Linked DNA regions of Elephas maximus indicus. The protein of the gene in region 4 purifies or fractionates together with the protein of the main gene of each other region. This does not show direct contact. Links are inferred from orthologs where the notes say so. Each region holds a gene or a part of one and is shown on either strand. Other genes may lie near its edges.

The links.
Region 1: the proteins of CLTC (region 4) and AP2M1 purify together in Homo sapiens (affinity purification with mass spectrometry; 3 studies listed by BioGRID and IntAct, with this or other methods). This does not show direct contact. The link is inferred for Elephas maximus indicus from reciprocal best matches to the Homo sapiens genes CLTC and AP2M1.
Region 2: the proteins of CLTC (region 4) and CLTA purify together in Homo sapiens (co-immunoprecipitation; 6 studies listed by BioGRID and IntAct, with this or other methods). This does not show direct contact. The link is inferred for Elephas maximus indicus from reciprocal best matches to the Homo sapiens genes CLTC and CLTA.
Region 3: the proteins of CLTC (region 4) and MYO6 purify together in Homo sapiens (affinity purification with western blotting; 4 studies listed by BioGRID and IntAct, with this or other methods). This does not show direct contact. The link is inferred for Elephas maximus indicus from reciprocal best matches to the Homo sapiens genes CLTC and MYO6.

What each region holds. Positions count from the first base shown.
Region 1 is NC_064819.1:30,892,501-30,899,551, forward strand, and holds the start of AP2M1 (AP-2 complex subunit mu), read right to left. Parts: upstream 3,027-7,051; 5' UTR 2,921-3,026; intron 1,008-2,920; 5' UTR 967-1,007; coding exon 893-966; intron 1-892. Other genes in the region: DVL3 (segment polarity protein dishevelled homolog DVL-3), read right to left, coding at 6,881-7,051.
Region 2 is NC_064827.1:45,041,379-45,048,403, reverse strand, and holds the start of CLTA (clathrin light chain A), read right to left. Parts: upstream 3,016-7,025; 5' UTR 2,885-3,015; coding exon 2,668-2,884; intron 1-2,667. UniProt on the Homo sapiens protein: Clathrin is the major protein of the polyhedral coat of coated pits and vesicles.
Region 3 is NC_064819.1:139,186,992-139,194,554, reverse strand, and holds the start of MYO6 (unconventional myosin-VI), read right to left. Parts: upstream 3,014-7,563; 5' UTR 2,776-3,013; intron 1-2,775. UniProt on the Homo sapiens protein: Myosins are actin-based motor molecules with ATPase activity. Unconventional myosins serve in intracellular movements. Myosin 6 is a reverse-direction motor protein that moves towards the minus-end of actin filaments.
Region 4 is NC_064837.1:34,475,612-34,483,567, forward strand, and holds the start of CLTC (clathrin heavy chain 1), read right to left. Parts: upstream 3,018-7,956; 5' UTR 2,713-3,017; coding exon 2,671-2,712; intron 1-2,670. UniProt on the Homo sapiens protein: Clathrin is the major protein of the polyhedral coat of coated pits and vesicles. Two different adapter protein complexes link the clathrin lattice either to the plasma membrane or to the trans-Golgi network.

The DNA.
Region 1 (7,051 bases), on a different chromosome or scaffold from region 4:
AGTGGACAAACAGCCACCGTGGCCAGGCCAGCCCATCAGCCAGGGAGCCATGGAGCACTGCAACAGGTCCAACTGGGGTAGCAAGAACAAGTGGAGCCTAATCTCATTAGAGCTGCCGAGGTGAGAATATGTCCCCTCAGTCAGGGAAGAAAAGTGGTGGACATGGTGGAACAGATGGAGAGTAAGGCTGTAGATCCCTGTTAAGACCTGAGGGACCCAGGACAAGGAGCTGTTCTGGGTCTGCTCTGACAAGCCAGAAAGGGCAGCATGGCCTTCCCATCCTTCCTTCCAGCAAAGACCTTAGAGTGAGTGCCTCAGGCTTGCCACAAGCTCTCTTCCAGAAATGGCCCAGAGGAACTGAAATCAGGTGAGTCAGCAGCCTGATTTATCTTGAGAAAGGGAGGTGGAAGAGGATTCTGCAGCCTGGAGAGGCTTCCAAGAGAGCCCAGGGAAGGCTCCCAACATGAGAAGGGCTTCTAAGAACAAAACTTAGAACAGATTAGTACCTCCAGCCTGGCCACTGACCCCACCCATTGGAGACCGATCCCTCTCCTCAAAGGAAGAACCAACCTGCTTGGCAAAAGCAACTGCCTCCAGCAATCAGGTCTGTCACTAAGGGAAACAGGGAGGCAGGCAGGGCAGAAGCCCTGAAGCCTGTGGAGGCCACACCACCCTACAAATCTCACCCAGCGGCCTGCAAGCTAGCTGCCAGGCCCACCACCATCACCAGACCCAAGGGGAACCAGGCTGTACTAGCTGAGCTTCCAGGATGCAGTGAGGGTAGGCGGTGGCCCAAGTCAACCCTCCGGAGGGAAGAGACCTGGTCCCACATGCTGGGGAGGGGGGCTCAGGTGGCAGGGGCACAGCTGGCTCAGCCAGGGGACTCACTCACCCGATGTCATCTCTGTAGACCCGGGAGATGAGCACCTCCCCCTTGTGATTATAGATGAACAGCCCCCCAATCATGGTGGCAGCTCAGTCTCCGCAGCCCATTGCTTAGAACAGACCTAGGACAGGGGGAGGCAGGGTACAGGAAGGCCTCAGAACCCCTGCCCACAGCCCTGCAAAGGGTTTTTTTCCCCCAACTCAACCCCATCAGCAAGTGACCCTGCAGCCCTTCCAGGCATGCCCCTCCCCTCAGCCAGCCTCCTCCAGTTCCTGTTTATCCCACACTGGAACGGCCCAGGATTCTAAGGCAATTTGGACCCTCCCTCTTCTGGGGCTGGGCCCAGAGTAGCCCCCTCCCCTCCTGCCAGCACTGAGCCCAGCTAGGATCCTTTCCGGCCCCCTCTTGTGCAGAATCACTCAGGCTCCAGCCTGTGAGTCACTGCAAGGCCGGCTGCCTGCAGCTGCTGGAATGGCAGCAGGAATTAGTCCAGATGGCTCAGGCCTGGGGCTCAGGCTCCACTACCCCTCTGAGACACTGGCAGGGCCTGAACCGTGGATCTCTAATTCACAGAAGCCTTAACGTTCCAAGAAAGGGTGTGCAGGGTGGGGGAAAGAGGAGGAAGGAAGGGAGGCCTTTGGCCCTGGTTTGGGGCCAGGAGTGTGGCTCCAGCCTCTCCCAGGCAGTCAGATAAGCAGGCAAATAGGAGGCCAGAAAGGCCCCCGACCTGGCAGACTTTGCTTCAATGACACAAGCTGCTCGTTACAGTTATTTCTAACTACTTTCAATAAGGTAGGCTCCCTCTCAGTTCTAGACTGCAATAAAAATAAGGGCGGGGCGGGGGGGCGCGGGGTAGGGTGATAAAATGAAGAGATCCTTCCAGCTGAAATTCAGTGATTCCAGACCCACCAACTAGCTCACGTCTGGCCTGAGTGCCCATAACCAAGGCGCAGGCCTATCAGAAATGCCTGAATTATCCAAGTTATTTGGGTCAAATGAATTTGGACTGAGAGATGAAAAGGGTTAATTTGGCTCTAGGTTGCCTGGATTAGCCCTGGTATTAATTTCACAGCGGAGACTTTAGCAGGCTTTTCTAAACTGCATAATGAAGCCTTTTACTGCGGCTGTGGAGGTCTCCTGGACCAGTGAGGGCTTTCTCAGGGTGGCGGCCACATCCCATCCCTCAGTCCCAAAGAGGCTGGGAGAGAAACACAAAATGGAAGTAGAGTTCACGGGTATGAAGTGGTAAGTAGCTCCGGGCGACAAAGAAACAGAGGTGGAGCCTGGGACAGGAACGGGAGATTTAGTCAGGGGCAAAGGCTGGCAGCAACAGCCCAGGCAGGCTACTCCAGCAGCCCACAGCAGCAAACAGGGCTGGTGGGGGCACAGGGAAGAAAGACTTTGGAGACTGGAAAAGGTCAAGGCCTTGGGGGTGGGAAGGGTGGCCGGCAGGGAGAGACTGACAGTGGTGAATGGCAATGCGGGGAGCTGGAGCTTGCTTTGGGGCTTAGGTGCAGAGATATGGAGGGGGTGGTGGTGTTTTCGCCCTAGGGAGGGGGCCACGGCGGAAAAGATGGTGCCACGGGGTGCGGGGGCTGTCACAGGTCTGAGGACGAGGAGCTGGGGATGTCGCTGAACAGGTAGAAGGGAGTGCGGCGGGGTGGGAGACTTGTCACAGTCCAAGGAGGCAGCACAGGGGGTGTCACTGTCCTAGGAGCCGGGAAATTGTCCTTGCGCTGAGAGAAGGTACCGAGGGGCAGGGGGTGATCACGATCCTGGGATGGGGCGCGCCGCGCGGTGTCCTGCTCTACCCGGCTTCTGCTCGGTCTCTGTCCCGGCAGGCGCCAGGCGGGTCAGGTGGAGGCCACCGCTCCCGCCCGTCCTGCAGCCGCGCCCCGGGCCTGCAGGCTGAGGCCACTCCCGGGTGTGGGCAGCTTTCCGCGGAGTGCGGGCCGGGGAAGAGCAAAGCCGGGCGACGGCGCAGACGGCCCGCGGCGCCCTCCTCCCGCCGGTAAGGTCAGATCCCGAGCTCACCTGGTGTCGGCGGCACCCGGTCCTTCCACTCCCCGGATCCCAAGATGTCCGCCCGCCCCCTGCTCGCCTGCCCGCTGCCTCGGCTTTCACCGCAGTGCCGCGGCCCCGCCCTGGCCTCAGCTGCGCTTGCGCGTCAGCTCCGCCCCGCGGAGACTACAAATCCCGTCAGGCCTCTCGGCTTCTCCCTTACCATTGTAAGCGGTTCAGACTTGTCAAAACTACAATTACCGACAGCCTTCGGGAAACCGCCCCCATCTTCCACGCCACTCTTTGAATACACATCCCGGCATACGCCGCTCCCCCTCACCTGATTTTCTCCACTGAGCATTCTGGGAAGTGTAGTTTCTGCAATCCCTCCTGTGCCTATTTAAGCGTTTTGGAGAGGCTCAGAGATTAGTGACGTTTTTGTTGAAGACCATCTGTTAAGGTTTGGGTTGCTGTAGGTCTTTTATGTTTCCAAGGTCTGAGGACTGGCTGTCCTTATTTTACACATAAACACACAACTTGGTACAAGTGTTTGTGTTGAGTTTGACTGCTTTCTAACATCACCTCTGATTCTCACGAACTTTTTTCGTTATGTATTTATTCGAGCCATGAGCCTTTTCCCAGGGATCAAGACTCAAGCAGGGGTGTAGGAAGGGAGGTGACAATTATGTGCAAGAAATTAGCTACGGCTTTTCGTGAGCGTTCGTGTGTTCTACCTCAGCTACGTGACCGTGCGCTCCTCAAGGCCGAGAGCTGTGTGTCTCCGAGCGACGGGCTGCATATCTTGCTTAGAAAATGTCTGGCGAGTTGATTTTAATTAGACATGGGATTGGAACCCCTTGTCTAATGAATAGTTAAGCTTCACATCTAGGCTGAGAGGAGACAGAGCCAACCCCCAACATGAAAGGCCTGCTTGGCTCTTGCAGGACCTTGAAGGAAACCTATTGGCTTTTCCTCATCTTAGGCAGAGACACCCTGCTGCCTTCCCTGGGCAGGACTGCACCAGTCCTGGGAGGAAGGGCAAGAAAGAGCAAACCCGGTTGCAAATCCCACTGTCCTTAGCTTCCTCCTGCCAGAAGACAGAATGTGATAGAAGGAAGGTCTGGCCTCCTCAAACCGTGGTCCTAACCTGAAGCCATTAAGTGACTGAGTACAGGTGAACTAGTACTCGAGGCTTCACTCCTACCTCTCCAAAAGCTTTATCTTCCACACATATCCTACCCACTGCCATCGATTCCAACTGAAAGCAACTCTACAGGACAAAATAGAACTGTCCCCATAGGGTTTCTAAGGCTGTAAATCTTTACGGAAGCAGACTGCCACATCTTCCTCCGAGTGGCTAATGGGTTCAAACCACCTTTCGGTTAGCAGCCAAGTGCTTTAACCGGTGCACAACCAGGGCTCCTCACACGTATCCAAAACTTCTATCATTTTTTACTAAATAATAATAATAGTAATAGCAGTAATTATAATAGCCACCATTTATTGAGCACCTACTCTACTGTGTGCCAGGTACTGTGCCAGGCACTTTTCGTACAATATCTAATTTAAATCCTCACAACAACCCTGTGAGGTAGGTATTATTATTGTCATTTTACATACAAGGGAACTGAGGCTCAGGGAGGTTAAACAGCCCTCCTAAGATCACACAACCAAAAAGTAGTAGAGCTGGAATTCAAACCCAGAACAACCTGATTCCAAATTCCGTGGTCCAACAAACTAAATAAGTAAAGGCAGACGGGAGCGGAAGGGCCAAATTCAGGAACGATTGTTGGAATGGAATGGATATGATATGCTGACTGGTAAGACATGGGAGGAAGGAATTAAAACCCAGAAACGTTTCTAGTTTGTGAACCTGTGTAGATTGTGATGAAAGTAACCAGGATTGGAATTCAGGAGGAACACACTTGGCGGGAAAGATGACATGTTGAGTCCACATGGATATGTCTGTGGAGATGTCCATTGGGTAATAAAAATATGGACCTAAAGATGAGGGGAGAAGTTGGGGATGGGGATATATACCTGGGAATCACCAGCATATCAGTGGCAGCTGAAGACATAATGATGGATGAGGCCATTTGGGGAGTCTTATAGAAAGGAAAAAGAAGTGGACCAAAGATAGAACAGCAGGGGGCACTGACACTGAAGGCATGAGCAACAGCAGAGGAATTCTCAAGAGTTGGACAGGCAGTCAGAGAGGGCAGAGAAGTGCAGGAGACAGCCCCGCAGTGGCATCAACAGGAAGCCATGGACTGAGTTGAGAGTGAACCCAGAGCTCCCAGAGGGTGAGCAAGACTGAGTCACACTTCCAGCACAGCACTCTGCTTACCAAAGCCCCAGGAAGTATTTGCTGAGTGAATGAATGCCAAAATGCCTGGCATTTGGTTCATCCCAAAGCCTGGAACCAAGGACTTCATCTTACTCTTGATACCTCAGCCCTGAAAATATGGGTGCCTTAGTGAGCCTAGGTGAGCCAGGAGAATTTATAGCAGTCATGACTTGGTTAAAGTGAAGAATAAGGTAAAAAAAAAAAAAAAAAAAAAAACCTGGCACTCTGTCTGGAAGTCCCAGAAGTCCCCCTGCCCAACCTCAACTGGCCTGTGAGCTCCTGTGTCCTGGCTCTGGGGTGTCACCGCAAATGTGAAAACAGGGAGGGGTATGTGTGAGAATGGTCTGTGCCTCTGCTGAGCCCAGCCTGAGAACCAGCTTATGGGTTTTATCCAGGTAGGAAGATGATGAGGACAACTGTGGAAGGCTTGAGGAGTACAAGGAAGGGGAGCAGGAAGTCAGGGGACCAGCCCCACAACCTGAGAGAGGACTGGGAGAGAGGGATCCAGCCCTCTGGGCAGGGACCAGCCCTGAGGCTGAGTGAACTTGCATAGGCACATGTGTGTGTGTGTGCGTGTGCGTTGTGTGTGTGTGCGTGTGTGTGTGAGAGAGAGAGAGAACACTATCTCTGGAGAGGCAAGCATAGTCTCTCACGAGTGACTGTGTGTGAGAGGCTGGGGCCCTCCACAGGAAGCCTAATAACTCAATAGTGAAGTATAGGTGTGGGGGCTGGATATCCTTGGGGAGCCCTGAGGGGCTCTTCAAGCAGGGCTCCTGGTCTCCTCGGAGGCTGGGCCTCCCTTTGCAGGGGGCTCACAGAAAGTCAAACAGCCCGAAATTCTTGGCTGCTCCAGACCCAGGAAAAATTGGGGGAGGAAAAAGAAAGAAAAGAAATGTTTCAGGCCCAGAGGTGAGACAGGCCTGCCAGTTAGTAGGGTTAGGGGTCTGAAGGAACCAGCACGCAGGCCAGACACAGCAGGGACAGGGCGGGTGGGTGCCACGCAGGCAGCTCAGGGGCCCTCTGGGCCTCTGGTCAGGGCTGGGCATAGGCAGGGATGGCATGGATGGTTACTGGAAGTGGCTCCGGCTCCAGGGTGCAGGACTGAGGCACAGGCAATGGACAGTTAAGGCGGGCAGGCTCAGTGAATGTCCGGGGGGAGGGGAAGCGATGCTGCTGGACAAAGTCGAGGTTGCACAGTGCTGGAGGGGTTAGGTCAACAGAGGGATGACAGGGCTGAATGAATGGGGAAATGGAACTGAGGGGGACGGGAGAGGACGAGGGGCTGAGAGGCCTCCAAGGGCTGCTAGGGTTAGTTCCTAAGTGTGTATGTGTGAGGGCCAGATTAAGGGTGGCACCGGCAAGTCTGGGGGACTTGGAGACAGCAGCCCAGGGCACGAAGGATCGCGGAAATCCTGCTCAGCGGTCAGTGGGCCAAGAGCTCAAGCTGGGGCCAGAGGCAGGTTAGTGGGTACCAAGCCGATCGGTGGGTGCACCCCACCCTCAGTGCGTCCCTTGAACAGTTAGCGCGCCGTCATTTCCTTCCATTTATTTCCCTTTCAGGTACCAGACAAAGTAAAAAACGACGGACGGTGGGTGAGAGGGGCACAGGCGGCCGGGATGGGGGTGGAAGTGGAGAGGGGCCCTGCTCACATCACATCCACAAAGAACTCACTGGGGTTTCCCATGGCCATGCGGAACGACTGTCTGCTGGCGGTCAGTTCGGGGGGCACAGAGGCCAGATCGCGGCCTGTGGGGGCCCCTGGGGGCCCCATGGCCGCAGGCGGCGGGGCCATCATCAGCACTGGGGGCCCGTAGAG
Region 2 (7,025 bases), on a different chromosome or scaffold from region 4:
AATTAGCTAGACAGCAACGGGTTGGGGTTTTGGTTTAAAACCATGGGAGGAGTTTTCCCCAAGGCTGGGGTTAGTGTGGATATCCTCCTCTCTCCTCAATCACTGCTACAGTCTGGGTATCCTGTACAACACATCAGAAACAGAGCTCCCACCTAAAATCTCTCAATTTCCTCATTACATCCCAAAACCTATAGGCCTCAAAATCCCTTTCTGCCCCACCTCCAAGGAATAAGAGTAGCTGGAATTCACTGGAGTATATACCAGGTACTCCATGTAAGCACTTTACAGGTACTCTCTCATGTAATCATAACAACCCTACGTGGCATATGCTATGCACCTTTTACAGAGAAAATTGTGGCAGAGTGGCGTTAGCAGTTATGTAACTTGCCTGACACCACAAAGCTAAACATTCAAGCAGCCTACACAACAGCCCACAATCTTAACCACTATACTAGAGTGCCTCTTTAAAAAAGAGAGTGTGTCCAACTAGTTATCTAATCCCCAAAGGAAGTGCTGACCACTGCACTATTACCAACCTCAACCACACTGTCAGGAATCTGGCTTTCAGTCACTAAATGCTTAGTTCACTAAGAAAGTCCTTCCTAGAAACTAAGTCAGCAATCATTCCTTCCTTCCCTTTGCTGAAGGCTTGATGCAGGAGGGACCTAAGTGTTTAACTCTATTCTCTCTTTACCATCACACTAAGATCTGCCAGTCCTATACAAGACTGTTGGACCTGACACTTTTTACCCACTCCTTTGACAAACAGTAAGCACCAACTATGTACCAGATACCCGCTAGGTATTAAGGATACAACAGTAGGCAACACTGTCCTTGAGTCAGGACAACCTCCTAACTAGGTATGCAGTAATGACCCCTAGTTCATGGGGCCCTGCTTCTCTTGACTCTGTCCTACCCAGAGCAGCCACAACTGCCTTTCAGAAATGACAATCTTTGATTTGTAAACATTCACTTAAAACACAATAAAAATTATTAAAAAAAAGAAATGACAATCTCTCATCCCACCACACGCCTGCTAAAACAACTGTAGAAGAATGTGTGTACAGTCAGGGTGGAATGACTTGGGGCTCAGCTATTAACCTGCCTTTTTTCTTCAGTCACTTCTCTCAAGGACTCAGTTTTCTCTTTTATTAAATGATGAGAAATAAATCAAGGATCAAAAAAGTAAATTTTATGATTCTCAGGCAAATGTTAAAGACCATCCCATGCAAATACTACTTAACTACTTAAAGCCGACTTCATCTCTCAGTCACAGTCCGGTTCAGTCCAACCTGTCTATATAAATTATATATTCATGGTCATGATCATGGTCTGGCCAATTCTAGAGAATACTAAAGGCTTGCTTTTGGGAAAATATCCCTTGACCCCCATTCTTTATGGTACCACTTTTGATTCCCAAGGCTCTTCTTGGGGGAATGATTTGCTTAGGAGGCAGCACAGTATAGTATAGAGAACTTGGAAGCTGCAAACTAGCAGTCCCCCATTCTCCCTCAGATGTTCTGCTTGGCTGGCATAATAATTTGAGATTTTTGAGCCTGAATGTTTTTAAGCAGAGCCCTACTCTCTACTGCACTGAAGTCTGAGTCTCCAAACTTCCTTAATGTTTCACATTCAGCCTGCTTATCTCATTTATGTTACCTGCCAGGTCCCTTAACAGTTTGAGTTTAGGTACAGATACCCTTATTTGCCCCACAAATGTCTTATTCCCCTTTAACTGAAAGTTTTTTAAGTAAATGACAAGTCATGTCTCGTTTCTTCTGGCTGAACTCCCTACACCACTGAATAGGTCTCTTCCACTCACCTTTCCTCCCACCTGTACAATTCTAAGCATCACACACAAGCAAAGCATTCAAAGATCAAATCAGCATCCTATCACCATCCCTGCACCCCCCTCCTTTTTTTGCTTTAGTTTGGCTGGAAAAAAAAGCCAAACTGCATTCTCTGTTCACCTCTTCTTCCCTCCCTAACTGAACCAGGCTAATCTTAGGTTTCGCCACACCCGGCTACCAAAGGTGTTCCCAGAGGAAGAAGAGCTCCAGAAGTCCTCCTAACATAGCTCAACAAATGCTAAACTCCTGGACGTCTTTGGTTCAAGTTTCCTTCTCCAGGGCTAGACTTCCTTCTTGAGCTCCCCATTCACTCCTCCTTCCTTCCCATAGCCTACGTGCTGTACACCTTAAGCGCTTACATGCTGAATTTCATAGTTTTTGTTTGTTTGTTTAAATATCTCAAAAACAAATTACTACTCTTACTTTTTCTGCCCCCCCGTAACTGGTTCCCTGCTGGAGTAGACTTGCCTGTAATCCTGGCCAAAATGCGCTAAAGCGACTGTTTCAGAGGCCAGGTTCAAGACATAGCAAGTGCTTAACAAAAACTTGCTCAACTGAACGGGCTTCCCATCTTAAGTACCACCCATTCTATCTTCTTTGGTTTCTCGCTCCGCCCGCGCCCGACAGCAGTCAAAGAGCCGGGTAGGCTTCCCCAGCCTAGGTTTCCGTATGACTGGGCCGGGGTCTCGTTTCCTCTTTCCACTCCTCCCTAACCTCCTGGTTCAGCAAGGAACAGGAGTTACACAGAAGCTCTCGGATCCCCTATGTCCTGAATTTCCAAACGAGTCCCACCGCCCCAGCACGCCCGCAATCTCACCCGGACCCCCCGGCGGCTCGCCGTGCGGCTGGGGCCCGAGGGCGCCGCCGTCCAGGATGGCGAAGGCCTCGTCGTTCTCGATGCCCGCAATCTCACTCTCTTGCTGCGCCAAGAAGGCCGCGGCCGGGTCTTCTTCGCCGGTGCCGGCCACACCATTCCCCAGCGCGGGGCCGCCTGGGGCGCCGGCGGGGGCGCCAAACGGATCCATCTCAGCCATGGCGGACAGTTCAACGGCACGGACACTGACGTTGGAAGACACACCAACCGACCCACCGACACCTCCCCAGGAAGCGGTCGCTTTGCTGGCGAGTACGCTCGGAGCACAAGCGGAAGGAGGGAGAAGGCGGAAGCGGAAACCCTGCCTCTATATCCGGCTGGTCTAGGGCGCGTGGAGAGCCGAAAAGAGAGAAACCAATGAGAAGGTAGAAATCGTTCAAGAACTACCCAATCAGCAGGAGGAGAGGCGGGCCTCGGAAGAAAACTCGTGACTCGGGCTTCTCCCAAGAGGGAGGTGAGCTCCGCGGTCCGAGGGGAGGCGGGAGAGGCGCTGGACTAAAGCCACGGTATCTGCCCCGCCCTCGGGAGCCGGAATGATCAGGGATCGCCACCTCTGAAGGGAATTCTTGTCCTGAACCAGGAGGTGAGGTAAAGTTGCGGCTGTGGTGATTGGCGGGTTACAGAAGAGGCAAGCCAGTTATACTGAGCCTCGGTTTCCTCATTTGTAAAAGGGCAAGAATCCATGCACTTGCCTCCCTCCTTCCCTATAGGGAAGACTCCGTTTGTGGATATGGACTGGCTATATGTATTATTTAAAAAACTTGTTAACCCATTCATCCAGTCTGGATTTTTTTCTCTTTTAGAGTCGATTGACATAAATGTAATAGATTCAAATCCGTTCCAACTTTTCTCCCTATAAACATTTTTATAAAAAGACGAATGTATCGCCTTTTAAAAGCACTTTTGCGGACAGTACGTCTTTTCAGAGCTATAAGGAAGTTTTTAGAACTAGAAATTCCACTAGGGATCACCTCGTTCATAGGAAACTGAGATCCCGGTGTGTGAGGGATTCAGTCACGGGAAATCAGTGGCCAAGAGGAGACCCAGGTCTCCTGGGGACCACAGCACTTCTGTGATGGTACCAGCCACACCCCTTATATGTGCACACCTTTCCCAACTAAGAACAGCAGAAACTTCCCTTAAAAAAAAAAAAAAGTTTCTTCAGTATTTCTTTTAAATCAGAAACTTGTTAAACATGGCTAGTTAATGTTGTCTGCATCATAGAAATTATAATAGAGTGATTCCAGTTAATCATGTTCATGATAATGAGGGATATTATGCAATGTATAATGGAAGGCCCTATTTCCATCATCACCACCACTGTAAGAACAGAACCAGAAACAAACTAAAAACACAACCAAAGGTCACAGATATCTCCAGAAGTAGTCAGCAAGGGACAAGAAGGTGGCTTAAAAAAAAAAAAATGTATATTTGATGACAAAGGATAATTATTTTGCTTAAAGTGTGTATTTTCTTTTTAAATCACTCTAAGTATGTAACATAGGAGATTTTGAAGAAGAACATTTAAGAAACTTAAAATGTTAGGGCCTGCAACAGACTCAATCTTCTTCTTCTTCTCGCATAAATTAACAACAATGTATGTAGTATCTACTTTCATAAAAAAAAAAAAAATTTTTTTTTTTTTTGAAACTACCCTGTGAGGAGGATGGGGCCAGGGACTACCGTGAGTAGGTCCAAGGGAGACAGCCTTTGGTTGCTCACTGTAATGGTAGCTGAGGGACTGAGACACATTCTTTCTACACCAAGTGCATGACTGGGGAAGCTATCCTGAGATTCCATTACTAGAGGAGGTATCAGATCTCCTCATGTCAAATCAACAAATATTTATTTACTCAAAATTGGGGAAATCAGCTGGTACGTTCAGGAATGACGTCACAGAAGAGGTAGCTTGCAGCTTAGTTTTGAAATATAGGTAAGATTAGAAAGAAGAGTTAATAGTGAGGGTCTAAAATTACTGTGGAATCCCTGGGGGGTGCAAACAGTTAAGTGCTTGACTAGTAGTCAGAAGGTTGGAGGTTTAAAACCACCCAGGTGTGCCTCAGAAGGCAGGGCTCGCATTCTGCTTCTGAAAGGCCACAGCTTTAAAAACCCTATGGAGCAGTTTTATTCTACACAGGTGGGGTTGCCATGAGTTGGAATTGACTAAGTGGCAGCTAACAACAAGATTACTGTAGGGGGCAGTGGTGGTTCAGTGGTAGGATCCTTGCTTTTCCTGATGGAGACCTGTGTTTGATTCCTAGCCATGTACCTCATGGGCAGCCACCACCTATCTGTCAGTGGAGGCTTTGGTGTTGCTGTATGCTGAACAGGTTTCAGTGGAGCTTCCAGACTAAGTTGTTCTAGCAAGAAAGGCTTGGTGATCTACTTCCGAAAGCAGTGAAAACCCTCTGGATCACAATGATCTGATCTACAACCCATCATGGGGATGGCACAGGCCTGGGCAGCATTTTGTTCTGTTATGTATGGGGTCTCCAGGAGTTAGGGGCCAACTCAACAACAGCCAACAACAAACGAGATTACTATTGTGCAAACGTTCAGTGGTGAGAAAAGGGCATGTTTAGATCACAGTGAATAAACTGGTGTAGCTGGGCCTGAAGGACTCAAGAAGAGGAATGATTTAAGGTAAACCTGAAGCCACCTACTGGGGCTCTGAATGCAGTCCAGGCTTAGGAGCCTTATTCACAGTAGGGAACTGCAGAAGATTTCAGAGATGAATGACATGGTGAATGTGCTGCTTAGAAGGTTAATCTGATCCCTTTGTGCAGGATCAATGAGCAGAGAAGTCCTGCAGTGACATGATGAAGGTCTGGATGGGGCAGTGGTATGTAACTGAATGGGGAGCATTAATGGGAGAATGAGTCCCTACAGAGAAGCAGCCGACTTGGTGTATGACTGGAGGAAGGGGCAGGGTGAGAAGCAGGGGGAAAAGATCACTGAGGCCATGAGTATGTGATATTGCTAGGGCCACTGGTTTGAGGGCTCTCAGAAGCTCAAGTGAATGATAGGAGACAGAAGAAGATATAAAGGGAGATGACCAGGAAGTAGCAAGAGGTGTGCTCAGGAGAGCAGTGAGACTACAAATGGAGACTGGAGAGGACTGAAGACTGAATCTTAGAGGACGGCTGTTTGTGAAGGACAGAGGGGTAGATTAGAGAAATTGAAGGGAAGTCAGTATAGACCTGGGTCATAGAAGTCAAGGAAAAAGAGTTTGCAGGAGAAAGAAGCAATTGGCAGAAAGGTGAAGAAGAGCAAGGGCTGAGCAGATGCTGTTGGCCATCAAGATGACTGGTGACCTTGGTGAGAAAGACATCAGAGGGTTCTGGAAGCAGAAATCATGTTGCACTGGATTGAGGAGTGAAAAGTGTAGTGGACAGCTGTTGATTTTGCCCTTCTACCATCCAGTTTTCCTTTTTTTCTGAAATCAGCACCCTGATTTTCCTTTGGGGAACCACTTATCCATTGGATGGAGTTGACCTGGACCATGTGGCCCAGGCCTGGCAAATTAGAACATTCCATCTCCTGGCCAAATGACTTGTTCAGGAATGGATAAGTGAGTCAAGCCAAGTCCATGAGACTCAATTCCAGGACTGTTCTAAAGTCTTTGGGAAAGCAGGGCTCTTTTGTTATGACTGATGAGCTGGTAAAATGTAAACTTGGATCTTCTGGTGATCGTCTCTCCATCAAGAGAAGAGAGCCAGACTGAGTGAAGCCAACGTAGAGGAAAGCAGAGATGAAGACAGACGGCTTCCTGCTTGCATCATTGAGCACCTGGATTCAGACATTCTTGAAGTGAGATACCTACTTTTGGACTTTCAAGTTCTGTGAACAAATAAACTTTTTTTTCTCCTTTAAGACAGTTGTGTTTTGATAACTTGTAAATAAAAGAATTCTGTCTGATATAGAATAAGAGATGAGGGTAAATGTAAATATAGAAGACTTTATTAGAAATGTTGGCAGCAAGGAAAGAAGGAAGAGCTATATTTAGGGCTATAACACCACGGGGACGTTTGTTAAGGTAGGAGACAGTTGAGTACATTTGTAGGTGAGGATAGGGAGAAGTTGAAGTTATATAATAAGGAAGAGGTGGTGGAAACAATAGACTGGGGAGAGAGAATTTTAGAGGCAAGAGTGAGGACAGACACCCCTGAGGGACTCAATTGCTTTAGGAAAGTGAGAACCAGTGGAAGAAAGGGAAGAGGTTTAGAATTGTCCAAGGGGAAGCTCAGTAGATAACGACCTTTATAAATTAATTGTGTGCCCCAGAAAGATAGATTGAAGTT
Region 3 (7,563 bases), on a different chromosome or scaffold from region 4:
AAAGCACAGGTGACACTTTAATCATAATCTAAAAACAAGCTTTTTCCCTGGGATTACCTAATTAATTATATAATATTTAAAAGACAGCTACTGCATTTAGGGACAAAAATCTATCTCATTTGAGGAAAATTTTTTAAAAGTTTTATCCTAACCATGAACATCATACTACTCATTTTAGCTAAGATGAAAACCAGTATTAGGTTACAGTCTAATTCTAGTTCCCATAAAGACCATTAAAATAAAAGCGCCACAATATGTATCACATTCTGGGACTATATCAAAAATAAGGCAACATGATATCACTGTTCAAGGATGTCAATTTGAGAATGAAAAAACAGACCTGGAATTCTATATTAGTTCCAGAACTACACTCATGACCTATCACATCTGCTCTGGGTGCCTTCTTCAAACCTCTAGTTACATTCTTCAATACAATACCAGTTGTGCAGGTGTATCTAACCATCTACCAAGTGAGCTGAAATCAGGGCAAACTGGCCTGGTAGAGGGAACAAAAGTTTCCGGGTCAGAAGACTCAGGTAGGAATCCAGACTTTGCCCCTCAAGGTATATACAACCTTGAGCAAGTATTTAACTCTCTGGCCCCAAGTTTCCTACTACCTGAAAGAAGCGCAAGACCACTAACCTTGAAAATTATTTTGAAGGTCAAGTGCTCCTGTTAGTGTTTTAATTGCAGCAGATGCCTAATAGGGTAACATTCTTACAATACTAATGGACTGGTTCACAAATTATTATGAAGTGTCTCATGATGGGCATCCGAATTAGACTGAGATTTATCAAAGTCGTAATTCTTTTTGCAATCTTTTAAAATAAGGTTTTTTTAATATATAGAAATTAAAATTTTACAGAGTTTAGAAATACCTTTTTAAAACTGACATTTTACACAACAAAGATGGAGCCTCAATTATCAACAGTCACTTAAACTTTTTTTTTTTTAATGTTTGGGGTACTAATATTTATTCAAATATCCCATGGCCAAAACCTTTAAAACTTTCTAAAGAAAGCTGTATTTTAGAGCCCAGATACAGCCCAGTTGTCTAAACAATGGGCTACATGATACACCACAGACTCCAGACAAAGTCACAACAGGATGAGAAAAGAGCCTCCAGCCTCTCTCAGATTTCCTGCCCACTGTTATTTTAAAACTTGATCACACAAACATAAACAGGGAAAAAATCCATTTCAGATAAGCCTCTTGGGTTATGATGTAACTACTGTGGAAAGATCGTATATGAACTCTTTTTAATACCTTGCATTAATTTACTTTAAATATTGCCAATAGCTCAGTACATTTTTCTTACTCATGTTTCCAGGACTAACGAAGAATATACAGTACATGTACATTCTACACACTTTTACATTACATATCATGTTCATAGTTTTTAATCATGACCTATTTTTTTAAGTCTTTTGTCACTTCTGCCACTGCCTTTTAAAATCAGTGTTTGAAAATAAAAATATAACTAAAAAAGTGGGGAAAACAAATAGCATGTCAAACAGATCATACAAATGTAACAACGAATTTGCATAATACTAAAATGACTTCTGTTTACCACTCTGCATGTGATTCCTGTGCAACCGAACATACTCAAAATAAGCTGGATATTTAAAAGTCAATGAGCTACTTTGAAGGGCTGTATTGTTTCAAGCTCTGATTACAGCTCACTTCGTATCATTTGTGGTACTTTTAAAACTAATGATTAAAAAACAACAAGGTAATTCCACTAAACAATTTCCGGTTGGAAAATCATAACCCCAGACGTCTATTAGTTCAGTTAATTTGTACAGAAATGCTATTTTGCTGCCAACCTTTGTACCCTGACAACTACCAACCCAAGTTCAAGATCCACATTTTATGGTGTAAGGATGGTTTCTGCTAAACCTTAAGAATGTTAATTTTTAAAACTCTCAAGCACTGACTATATTTAGCGATACTGCAGCTACACCACCAGAGCACAACAGAGACCAAACTTGTACTCAGAATGTGTAATAATCTATTAAGTTCGTGCTGTGGTCCTAGCTCCCAACTAAGATCTGCAGATTCGATTTTAAGCATTCCTCCACCACATATTTTATGCCAGATAAAACGTAGGGTGTTTCCCGAAACTGTATAAACGTATTTCTGACACGGATGTTCTAGTAATAACACTAACAAGTTATTCTCTACTTAAAATTAAAATTCCAGACTTAGAACATTTTAATCATTTTAAGGAGTTTTGGAAATTAATAAATACACACATGAATTAACATACTTAAGGTACTGGACAATGTGCGATTGAAAATACTGCTTTCGAGAGTCCCAAACGATTCTCCAAATGATTAAACTAGTAATGATAACAGTTGATCCTCGCATCCCAGAACAAAATGCACGCTTCTGCAGTGAATTTTAAGCTTGTTTACAAAAGAGAAAATAAAACTATTATGGAGCGTCCAAGTCAGAACCGGACACCTGAGTGTTCTATCTCTACCTGGGAACAGGGAAGAAACACAAAAGTACCTCGGTGATGATAAACCTATAAAAGGAGAGTCTCATTGTCTATCTGTGGAAAAGAGAACCACCTACGACACTAACGCGAGCCGTCGCCGCTTGGGCACGCTCGCCGCCGGGTCCCACCATCACCTGTGTCGCCCACCCGCGCGTCCTTGGGAAACAAGCCGTCCGCCCCGGGACGGCTGGAGAAGGCCCCGAAGCAGGGCCAGAACAGGAAAAACGAGGCCCAAGCGGTGCAGCCCGCAGCGGGGACTCGGGGACACTCACCTGTGCGGGCGCAGAGGCAAGCGCGCGGCGACGGGGTTACCTGTCGCCGGTGAGGCTAGAGGACGCGGGTGCGAGTGATGAGGACGAGGGAGGAGGACGAAGACGCGTACTAGCACAGGGACCAGGTGGCGGCGGCCAGGGCCGGGATCCTGCTCGCTTCCTGCTCGGACAGGTCCCGGGTCCGTCTCCGCCCGCCGGCCGGCGCCCCGCGGAGTTCCCGGCCCCGCCGCCGCGCACGTCACGGCTACGGAGCGCCCGAGGGGGCGGGGGCGCGGCGGGCCGGGGCGGGCAAACGGGGCCGCGCTCCGGGAGGGGCGCTCGGCGCTGGGGGTCGCCCCGCCCCTCGGTCCGCCTCTCCTGGCGGCGACGCGGAGCTTCGAGGGTCACGGTGGGGGCGCCGCGGGGTCGGACTGCCCCTGGCCGAGCTGAAAGTCCCTGTTCCTCCCCTGGGAAACGGCTTCCTTCGCAATGGTTCTAGTTTCCAGCCCCAGGAAAGCAAGTTCTTTCCAGGCTCGATGGCGTGACTATATAGTCTGGCAACAGCAAGAATTAGCGCAAAGCGGGAAAAAGTTGTGCGGAAAAGAAGGGAGGACCCCAGGGCTGTGGATGCGTGCGGCTTCGCTGAGCTGGGTTGCCCTACGAAGGCAGTAGCCTTCAGTAGCAACAAACTTGCTATTCTGCTTTGGGGGAAGGGAGCCTGAGATGGAAATTTTTGACTTCCCCTAACATTCCCCTCCTGCTGTTATTTATTAGAGCCCCTATCATCTTTTACTGTTTTTATAAGGGACATATCTGTGGATTATATTTTAAAATTAAATATGAAGTAGCTATGCAAATTTGAATTCTGTAATGAAAACGTAAACCGTCTGTACGACGAGTGGAAGCTGCTTTTACGAGAATAAAATGGTAATTGACTATAATGCTGAATGTCTCAAATGAAAAAAAAAAGTACAGATTTTCCCCCCATCATTTCCAATTAGCAACTTTGAAATTGAAGAAAATCTAGAAGATTCAGAAGAGGAGAGAAGTTTCAGATATTCGGATGTTCTACAGTTTTCTCAATGGAGAAACTACAATTAAAACAATAAAATTTTAAGAATTAAATAGGGAAGTAGGAAAGAGGAAGTGAAACCAAGAAAGGAAATAATTTGCAGCAATCTTAGAAATTTAATTCCAGATTGCCAGAAAGTAAATCTTGATATAAAAACTCAAGACTTATAAATGAATTGAAAAAATAATGAGGAGTAGGTGAGGAGGAAGAAGGTAGCATGCTGTGCTTCTTTCACTTCTTTGACCTCATTTTGGACTTAAGATTAAAAAACCTTGGGAAACCAATAGAAGCAGACACATTACAGTTTTTCATGAGTAACAACTTCTGTGACTTGCTCTCTCTTGTCCTCCACTTCTAAACCATTATGGAGTCCCTTTGCTTCTAGCTCTACCTATATCTCAAAAAAAAAAAAAAACTGCTGTGGTCAGCCAATTCTGACTCATAACTGCCCCACAGGGTTTCCAAGGAGTGGCTAAGTGGATTTGAACTGTCGACCTTTTGGTTAAGAGTTAAGAGCACCCGAGCTGTTAACCACTTCACCATCAGGGCTCCTCTATATCTTCAACACAACATCCAATTCCTCTTTATAGCCACCATCATTATCTTGTTTCAGGCCAGGATCGTCTCAGGTCTTGTGTACTGCCTTAGCCACCTAACCAGCTTCCCAGACTATAGCCTCATTCCCTTCTAATTCAGTCTCCACAATGCCACCAGATTTATCTTTTATAAAATACAAATCTTATTATGTGCTTCTCTATTTAAGCTCCTATGATGGTGCTTTGGAGACCTGGTGGCACAATGGTTAAGAGCTCAGCTGCTGACCAAAAAGCAAGCAGTTCAAATTTACCAGCTGCTCCTTGGAATTTCTATGGGGTAGTCCTACTTTGTCCTACAATGGTGCTTCACAACCCATAGTATAAAGTCCATACCCCTTAAAGTTACATAAGATCCTTCTTGATTTAGTTCACCAGTCACAAACTATTTTATTTGGCCAACACAGTAGGGATTTCTTTCTTTCTTTTTATTTTAATTGAATTTGAATGCCTTTTCGTTGGTCATGCAGCCCCCTGGTTCATCGCACGCCTGGTGAAGCTGTTCTACAGCAGCCTTCATACAATGTTTCCTGCCTGTCTTTGGAATCGTTTGCATTTTGCGCCACTGTCATATCTTTACTTAACTGTGTAATCTCATTTCTGCCCACACTGCCTTCCTCCATTTCTTGTACTTTACACTCCAGCCATTGTAAAGTGCTTGTCTGTCCAAAAACAGACAGCAATGCTATTTATCACATTGTAGCAGTGCTAGGCTAAATGGAATTAATCCTTCAGAGCAGAATTTATTTGTCCCCTCTAAAAAGCTTTCCCTAAATCCCTTTATACCAAAACCTAGGTACAAGTCTCTGTTCCTTCCTATTGCTCTTTTAACACCCATTGCACATGTCTCTCTCAACATTTATTTCAGTATTGCAGCTTCAGTTGGCATATAAGTCACCCCCACCTGGACTGAAAGCTACTTGAAGGCAGGATAGTGAACTTCACAAACACACTGACTTTGACATGGTCAACCAAAAAAAAAAAAAAAACCCTGTTGCTGTGGAGTCAATTTTAACTTATGGGGACCCCATGTGTTACAGAGTAGAACTGCTCCATTGGGTTTTCTTGGCTGTAATCTTTACAGAAGCAGCTAGCCAGGCTTCCACGGTCCCACTGGGTGGGTTCAACCTACCAACCTTTAGGTTAATTATAGAAAGCAAACCATTTGCACCATCCGGGGACCTTTTCACATGATAGGCAATCATTAAACAGTGTCTACCATTATTATTATTACTATTGAGTGAATGAGACTGATGGATGAACAAATGGCAAGAGAGTTGACAATTCTAGGAAATTCCATATATACCTGTATTTATGCATATGCTTTTTGCACTGTGTCTTATTTGTTGCCAAAATTCATATCATAATTTATTTTCTATTTATATTTGTAATTGTCTCATCTTTGCTCTTGCCCATTAAATATTTGTAGGGCTCTTCCCCAGATTCTGCCCCAGAGATTTCTAAGCTGAGACTCATCAATCCAGTATCATAAACTTTGAAGGGCTCCATGAACCCCTGACACTATATGTGAAATTTTGTGGTTTTGTTCCTTCATTTTTATAGGAAACCGTGACATGGGTGTTTAAATTGTCTTTACTCTTTGCTTAACTGATAATCATCCACTTTAACAGGTCCAACTGCATCTGTGTCACCAACTCCTAAAATAAAGCAGACTAAATAACCCACAGGTACATGACAGAAAATCATTATCTTTCCCTTGCCAACTCCTTCAAGCAATTCCCTTGCAGACAGAGCCTATTATGATTATGGCATTACCAGTCACCAGTGTCCAGAAGTTGTGGTTTTTAAGTTACCCAACACTCCTTCCTCTTCTTTACTTCTAATTTCGTAGTCATGAATTCTAGTTCATTCTACTACATCATAAATTATTTCCAAGTTGAGGCCTTATTCTCCATCTTCCCTTAGTACGGGCCTTCACCAGTTTTTTGCCTTTGTCTCTGCTCACTCAAATTCATTCTCTGTACCGCCCTCCCCAAATCCAGTTATGTCACTCCTTTACCAAATCATGGTACCTTTCAGATAAATTTAAACTCATTCATATGGAATGATAGAACCCTTCACAGTACTGAACCTAAAGCCATAAAAAAAAAAAAAAAAAAGCCATAGGAATTCAAATATCCCATGCCCTTTCCTGACTATTCCTCCTACATAGACTTTTTTCCCCCTCCCGCCTAATCTAAGGAATTCATTCCCCTCAGTCTTAAAAACTCCATTCAACTATTATTTTCTCTGTTCTGACTCTTTCACAGAATTCTTTTTTCTTTACCTTATTTTCCAGTGCACCACTTCATTTCTATATTGTACCACTTATTAAGGAGTTTTATAATTGTGAGTGTTGCTGTTAGGTGCCGTTGAGTTGGTTCCAACTCATAGCAATCCTATATACAACAGAAGGAAATATGGCCCAGTCCTGCTCCACCTCACACTCACCGTTACGCTTGAGCCCATTGTTGCAGCCACTGTGACAATCTATCTCGTTGAGGGTCTTCCTCTTTTTCACTGACCTTCTACTTTATGAAGCATGATATCCTTCTCCAGGGACTGATCCCTCCTGATAACATGTCCAAAGTATGTGAGACGTCGTCTTATCATCCTTGCTTCTAAGGTGCATTCTGGTTGTACTTCTTCCAAGACAGATTTGTTCATTCTTTTGGCAGTCCATGGTATATTCAATATTCTTCACCAATACCACAATTCAAAGGTGTCAACTCATCCTTGGTCTTCCTTATTCGCTGTCCAGCTTTCACATGCATATGAGGCGATTGAAAATACCATGGCTTGAGTTAGGCACACCTTAGTCTTCAAGGTGATATCTTTGCTTGTCAACACGTTAAAGAGGTCCTTTGTAGCAGATTTACCCAATACAGTGAGTCTTTTGGTTTGACTGCAGCTTGCATGGGTGTTGATTGTGAATCCAAGTAAAATGAAATCCTTGACAGCTTCAGTATTTTCTCTGTTAATCATGATATTGCTTATTGGTCCACTTGTGAGGATTTTTGTTTTATGTTGAAGTGTAATTCATACTGAAGGCTGTAGTCTGTGATTTTCTTCAGTAAGTGCTTCAAGTTCTCTTCACCTTCAGCAAGCAAGGTTGTGTTATCTGCATATTAAAAAAAGTTGTTA
Region 4 (7,956 bases):
TATGGGGCAGTTCTACTCTGTCCTCTAGGGTCGCTATGAGCTGGAATTGACTCAACAGCAACAGGCTTTTTATCAGCCTAAACATCCTTAAAAAAAAAAAAACCGCATAACTTAAAATATTAATATTCATTTGACGCAGATCCAACCCTCAATGACAGATCCTTCAACTGGTCAATGTAGTTAAGGCCTACAAAAATAAATTCATTTACAGTTCAGGTTTTGAAGCTATAACGAGCTAAAGCTCCAAACTTAAGTTCCTCATTTCTTGTTCCCAGTTTTTATCCAAAGCGTTTCAGAAAGTTTTCTGCTATTTAGCAAGCTGGCAGAGGGTCAGAGGTCAAAGACTTAAGTTGCCAATTAAAATAATTCTTATTAACTAAAAAAAAAAAAGGAGAGGATAAAGATGAGAAGTCAGGAGATAATTATCCTGGAAGAGGTTGATAATTTGACTCTCTCTGCAATTTAATCATTATCAGCTCGAGCATACAATAGCTAAGTTTATCACTCCAAAAAATGGATATCTTTTTTTTTTAAAGTATATTCACAAAGCTACTTTATACTCAAAACTTTCAAATTATTTGAGAAGGAAATGGCTTCACTCAAGTAACTGGAGAAACTTCAGACCACTTAGAAATCAGGCCTGTATTAAATGTCTTCAGTTGGTGATAAGGCTGGATTCTGTTTTGTGCAATCATTTAACAATTCTTGTCTCCTCTTTAATAAAAATAAGCTATTACTCAAACCACCATCGGTCAACCAAAAAGATTTACTAGTGGGTTATATCATGGATTGCCATGAGTTGAATTCAACTCAGCGGTAACTGATATGCCTCAGCCATGTAAACTAAGCAGCAGCTGTACCTGCTTCTCTTGTGTATGACTTACAAACATTCATCTACAAAAAGGCTTATTTCAAATGCACTTTACTGTGAGGAAGAGCCTGCGGTTTCCGCACACCTAAAACCAGTATTTTTCTAACCCTCCATATTCAATTACCAGCCCCCTTTAACAGAGGTAAACACAGCAACTGGATTGAACATAAAAAAATAATTTCTCCATGTCCATTCTGTTACTTAACGTTTTTAAATCCTTTGTAATATAGTGGTTTTATTGCCGAGGTATATTCCATTACTTCAGATGAATTATTCTGCAAACTACCGATGACTGAAGGAAGTACACTATTTAACTAGTTTTACAGGTAAAGGTTTATTATTCATTACAATTCAAGTCTTAAAGAAAAAGAATTTCTTGATGCAAGTTAAAATGATAACAGCTGTAAAGAACTATGAAATTATGTTACTCACATCTTGAATATTAAACCTTTTTATTAACAAGAATCCTCCGGGGATTCTTGTTAATGAAATGGAAGAAAGTAAATAAAATTGCCTTGAATGGAAAAATATCCAATAGGTTACTAATATTAGTGTTATGTGTATACCACTGGGTCCTCTAACATTATGTATGAAACTTGCTCTTCAGAAGACTGAGTTTAGGCAGACCTCTTTAAGAGGGTATGTGACAAGAAAACAAGTTAATATGAATGAATTATTTCAGCCAAAATGAAAACTAGATAGAAGCAGGATTGGTGAACTTGGAAAATCAGAAGCTCAAAAGGCTTAATTCAGTCAAGCCCTCCAATGATCACCTGCCTAGCCCAGCCAGGACATGCTGCCAGATAAGACAACAGTTACGTTGCCTCCAGGATAAGACACGGTAGGGAAAAAATTCTAGAACCTACTAAAGGGAAGCCAATTACAGACCAAACAACCCTGGACAAACGTCTCAAAGCAGGTGTGCTCTATCCCCATAGCTGTTTTAATTCCAAAAAATCCTGAAGGAGCTACTCACGCCAAGCGCACAACAATCTGCTAGACTCCAGCAGACCCCAAAATAACCTCTGAAGAGCTCCTTCCCTACCTCCTAGAACCAAAGAGGGGCTAAGAGACACACCACTCCTAGAGAAATCAAGAAACGGAAAAAGGCTAATTCCCCCAGGGACCTTGACCCCAAGCACCCTGAGATTGACACCGCCCTGAGAAATACGTTCCCCCATTCTAAACTCCTTCTGTGACCTTGTTTCTACTGCCTTAGGGAAGGCAAGATACAAGGCCGCCTCCCCCCCGCCCCCCACCCCGGGGGAAGGTGCCTTTCCCAGTTGAGAGCCGCAGAGGGAGGAAGAAAAAAGGTTGCTCCTCCCCAACCCACCCGCCCCACAACTCCTTAGTGCAGACACGAAGGTGGAGAGGGAGAAAGGCAATGAGAAATGACAGCCCCCGAATGGCCCAAGGGGTAATGAGAATCCATGCTCCAGGAGAAACAGGAGAAAATCTCTCCCCATCCACCTACCCAAATGAATGAACGGAAAAAAACAAGGAGGGGGGAGTTAGTACATGCAGTTCTTCCCATCCAGGAAGCAAGGTAGAGAGATCCTGAGATCCAGGCCTAGCAATGACGCCCTTTGCACCCTGACTCTTGTCCTTTCCAACCAAGCCTCACAAGATTTCTTTAACCCGTTAAGCTTTCCAAGACAGGCCCCCCTCCATCTATCCCAGGCACCGACACCCACCACTCCCACCCCCCGATACCGCTCTTTCTGCTTAGGCCTATACTCCAGCTTCTTCCTTCCTTCCTACCCTCTCCGCAGCCCTCACCAGCCCGAGCCCAGCCGCACCTGGAGATGCTCCTGAAAACGAATTGGCAGAATCTGGGCCATGGCGCTGTCGGGGGGTACGGTCTCCTCCTGTCACTGGGACTGCGGGGCAGCGGCTGCCCGGGCTCTCCAAGGGAGAGGAGGAGAAGGGGGAGGGGGAGGCTGGGCTCAGTAGGATACTCTCCGGGGACGCAGGAAACTGGCAGGCAGACGAAAGAGCTCGGGTCGGGGGCGGAGGCTCCAGGGGCCAGGAGAGCCGCAATGGCGGAACCGGGCGCAGCGCAGACTCCGGAAACGGCTGAGCCCTGCGGAGGGATCCCGGCGACAGAACTCCGCCCAAGTCGCCTCACCCCCTCCGCTTTATGTACCCCTCCACAGAGTGCCGCGATACTGCCGGGCGGAGGAATTAGGGGCGCAGTGCGCCGAGAGCCTCGCGTACTGATGCTACACGGGTGTTAATATAAGCACCGAAGGGACTACTTTTTGGACTCATCACTTTCCCCCAGCCTCCTTCTATTCCCTACCCCCCCTTTTTTTTGCATTTTGCCACATCATGCGACAAGGGGCAACTACGTCATTTCCGTGGGCGGTTCAAGTCCCACCCACATACTTCCGGGCGCACGTGACGCTGGTAGGGAAGGGTCGGCTGATCGCTGCCGGAATGAAGAGCGGGTTCTCGGGAAATGCGGAGTCTCCTGGGAATGAGGTGGCGGTTGGGCCACCTTAAGGAGCGGCGGGTGCTGCTCCTTCCCCTGTGACCCTTGCCTATTTAAACTGGGTGCCTTACGAAGACGAGGCGTGGGCTGATGAGCCCGATCTCCCACCCTGTCCGTGACTCAGGGAAACTGCTTCCCCGCAGAGCGCTCTCTTGGCAGCTAGCTGCCGCACTCCTCCCCCGCCTGGTTTTTTATAGTGGGTGGTTTCTTACATCTCCAGGACTGGGGCAGCGAAATGGGGTTTTAAATCCTCGCAATCACTACACACGCGCTTCTGACGGTTGGAGAACATGACGCGCGGATTCTAACTAGAACCAGCGTTCTCCTCGGGTGTTAAATATTTGGCTCAAAGGACAGTGAAGGCCATTTATGAGGTATCTCCAGCTGGCCTTGTGATAGCTTCTCTTAAGGTTTCTGCGGACATTTTGGAGGACATCTATCCGCCTAGTTTAGTAATCAAATAGTCCAGTGTAAAGAGTTTGAATATCATAAATAAGCTAGAAGGTCTGACCAAAATTGTAGCAAGAAGCTTTTCTTTTTAGCTACGTCAAATCATTCTGAGTCTCAAAGATTTGGATTATTCAGTTACGGGTGCTTGAAAGATTTTTCCTACGTGAGGTTAACGTCCACGCGTGGAGGAAAGGGATGAACTATTAGCCATGTATTTCAGTGGGACCACCTCAACAGTGCCTCTAGGTTTAGCAATGTTTGGGAATATAAATGCTTCAAAGACGGGGCATCGTATCTTCTAACAGCATTAAGGTATCTACAGCATTCATTGTCCATTAATAATAACCTCAGCACCTTATTGCTAACGTATAAGGTGTTAATAGTATTTAATAATTGAATCAATAAAGGATAAAGGCTTCTGTGGCTTTCATTTCTTGTAAGATGTTATTTTTTCGAGAAAAACTCAAATACACAATTTTTTTAGTGCCTTTTTCACTTAAACATAAAACTATAATTTTGTTTTCTATATTAAGCAGTTTTGCTTAGTGTGAAAAGTCTCCTTACTCATTTTAGCTGTTTTTGTCTCACTAAGGATGAGAGAAGAATGTGTGGTAGGTAAGAAAGTGATTAGAGACTGTTTTGTAAAGAAAAGCCTTGCCACCATGTTACAAGAGAGAACATCTATGCTGAGCAAAATTTCGTTTTGTATTGTTAAACCAAATACTTGAAGATGTGTATTCTGCAACATTTGAAAGCATCTTTCTACTACGAGTCTAATAGCTGCTTTAAATCCTTTTTGGAAGTAGATCAATCCTCAGAAATCTAAGGGAGCTACTGTTTTATTATAGTCAAAGGCACTAGCTTAATCATTTCAGTCTCAGGTTCTTGGATACAAGAGCTATATATCATGAATCAGCTACCAATTTTTTTCTTCTATTAGTGTCTTGCATTTTCGTACAGACCCTGTAATTTTAAAGTATATTTGAAATCCCAAAAGCAGTTGATTTATCTTGGATACTTAGTATGGAGTATCTAACAAAAAAAGTGTACTGAGTTTCTCTTAAAGTGACTGCGGTGTCATCATACACAGAAATCTAATGAACGCATTATTTTCAGAAATAATTTGAGAAGAAAAAATAGACTGCAGTATACTAGTGCATTTTGAGCACTATAAACAAATCCAATTTTTTTCAAGAGTAAAAAGGTCCAGATGGTAAACATTTAAAAAAAAATAAAACTATGCCTTTTAAAGATCAAAATTTGGGTGAGGTAATAAGACATGCTTTTTATGCTGTTCTTTAATGGTGTAGAGACAGGAGAAAGGTTGAGAATCCCTACTGTAGAAACCCGAAAGGCTGAGGCACTGTTAACAGTTACTACAGCAATACCTAAATAAGCCAGGAAACAAACCCTGCGACCCAGATTTTTTTTCCCCAACTATCACATAGTCTTTTAATAAGACTGCTGCTATGAATGAATCATAACCCTGGTCTAGCAAGGTACCATGTTAAATAAATGGTCGACTCTTTAAATTTGAAGCACTTTTTAACCAGAATGTTCATCAACAGTAGGCCCTTACCGTCAGTCACAGCAACTGCCATTAGCAAAAACTACATTGCTTGGTCTGTTTTGAGGAGTGCTAAAAAAACCAAACCCAGTGCCATCTAGTCGATTCCAACTCATGAATGAGGAGTGCTAGTTTCTCAAAACCTATACAGCAAACCTTTATAGTGCTCCTTATTTTATACCAGGAACTAATTCCTAATGGGAATGACATCTCAAAAAAACCTTCATTGTAGGATTCCTCTGTAGCTATTATCTTCAAGCAGCCCTGGCACTAAGGTTAATAATGCCTTTTAACTTGACATTTTAAAAACAGCTTGGGCTAGCTGCATTGCATGAGTCAAAACAAAGGCATTTCTCAGACATTACAGATTAATTTTAAAGTAAAACTTCAACTCACTGCACCAAATAGTTGATAATTAAGATTTTAATGAAACCAAGAGGTATATACTTTAGCATTGTCCAAGTAAGATAAGTAGCTTTGCCATTTAAACATTTCAGTCCCCTAGAGCCACTGATACAAATCCCAGTAGGATTATACCCTCTGGTCTTTTATCTTTTCAAAAATGATAAACAGCAGCATATCAAAGGCCAGTAAGAAAATGAATATCCTTTAGGGCTCAGGTATTAATCTACAGTGCCCACAGTATTTTGGCCCTGTACAAAACCCAGTGCCATTGAGTCGATTCCAACTCATAGCGACCCTGTACAAGGCACTGATTATAGGCAAGACTCCCTCAAATGAATGAAACATTTAAAAAGCAAAAATTTAATGGACTTTAGCATGAAGTAGACCTGAGCTTATATTCTTGACATCATTCACTGTTCAGGCTTATCTTAAACCTAATTTGTAAGACAAAAAAACCAAACCCGCTCTAGTGCAGTTGATTCAGACTCAGCGACCCTATAGGACACAGCAGAACTGCCCCACAGGGTTCCCAAGGAATGGCTGGTGGATTTGCACTGCCACCCTTTTGGTTAGCAGTCAGACACTAAACCACTGCACCACCAGGGACCAGGGCTCCACCTTTAAGTTCTATAAAATGTTATGGATGGCAATAAGATCTGTATTAGGATTGAGCATGTTCCTAGTGAATAGTTAAGACTAACCCTGTGGGGATCTAACCTGCAATCAATCTATCACACTGTATAGGCCTCTCCTTTGTTTTTATAGGTGAAATCAGATCCCAAGCAGAGGGATGCGTGGCTGATAGCATTACCTTAAAAAGTTATCTCAGAAAAGATGGTCCTCTTCAAATGTAGAGATGCACAGAGCATTGTGGACAGAAAAACTCAGAAGAGTTATAACCCTGATGATCAACAGGGAGTCAGATGCCTTTTCATATCCAAAAACAAAAATTACAAACTTGAGAGGATCTATAGAATGAAGGGGCCAATTTATGGTGATTGAGGGTAAAGGTATAGGAATGATTGTTATGGACTGTTTTTCTCCTTTCTAAATATGCAGAATTGCCTCTTTTCATCTCCTAGAGTTATTACTATTTCCAGTTCAAAGCAACACATTACCCACACATGTTCCCTCAGCAATACTGAAATTTTTCCACACTCCTAGGGATAGTTTTGCCACTACCAGTGCACACCTGCAGCGTTATGGTAGTAAATTCGCTCTTCTTTAGAACAGAAAGGACTGTGATTTGGTAAATAAATTTTGGTTAACTCAATAATAAAGTTTCAAGGAATTATCTAATTTACACCAACATTTTTGAATACTGACAATGTAAAATTATTCAACATTAAAATCTCTTAAAAGACTTTTGGAAAAAAAATTAATATGGAGAAAGCAATTCTGAATATTGAAGGCCTTGGGTTCATCACTAAAGAATTTTTTTACGGTACTCCTACAAAAGTAGGAACCCAATCTGAATCCATTCCAAACCTAGGACACACTAGAAAAAAAATTTTTTTTTAATGCTTTACCTCAACTTGTCTTGACTGATAAAAGATTATGTAAAACAAAAAAATCTGGTTATATTCTTTTCCTGGCTGTATAGATTGCAAATAACTGAGTTTAATGTTGTAAACAGCCATACAACTAGTATTCGTTCCACACCACTGCAGAGATGAAAAATATATAGCATTCATATGAGCCTGCCTCATATTTATTGATTTGCACCAACAGGCATGAAAAAGTCCTTAGATTAGTTCCACCAGCCACTCAGATACAAAGCTTTCCACGTGGTGGAAATAAAAACTAACGTTATAAAGACAGCCTTTCCCATCTCTATTTTAATTACTATCTAACTGAGCCACCAGATCAGATGTGGAGATAACACTTCTCGTTACTGAGGAAGGCTTAGAAATTCTATTTCTTTAAAAAGAACTAAATAGAATAGCAGACGGGCATACAAAGCTAGTCTATAAGTGGTGCACACTAAAAAAGGAAAATACCCGTTTAAACAGAACTTTCCAATTTTTCTATCTGCAAGAATGAGTGCCACTCAAATTATTCTCCATTTGACCTAATGAGTATTAACCCAAGTTACAGACTGGAAATAGGAAAACCATAAAGAAGAAGCTGGCACCAAATAAACTCACGAGAAAATGATGGTCCACTGAG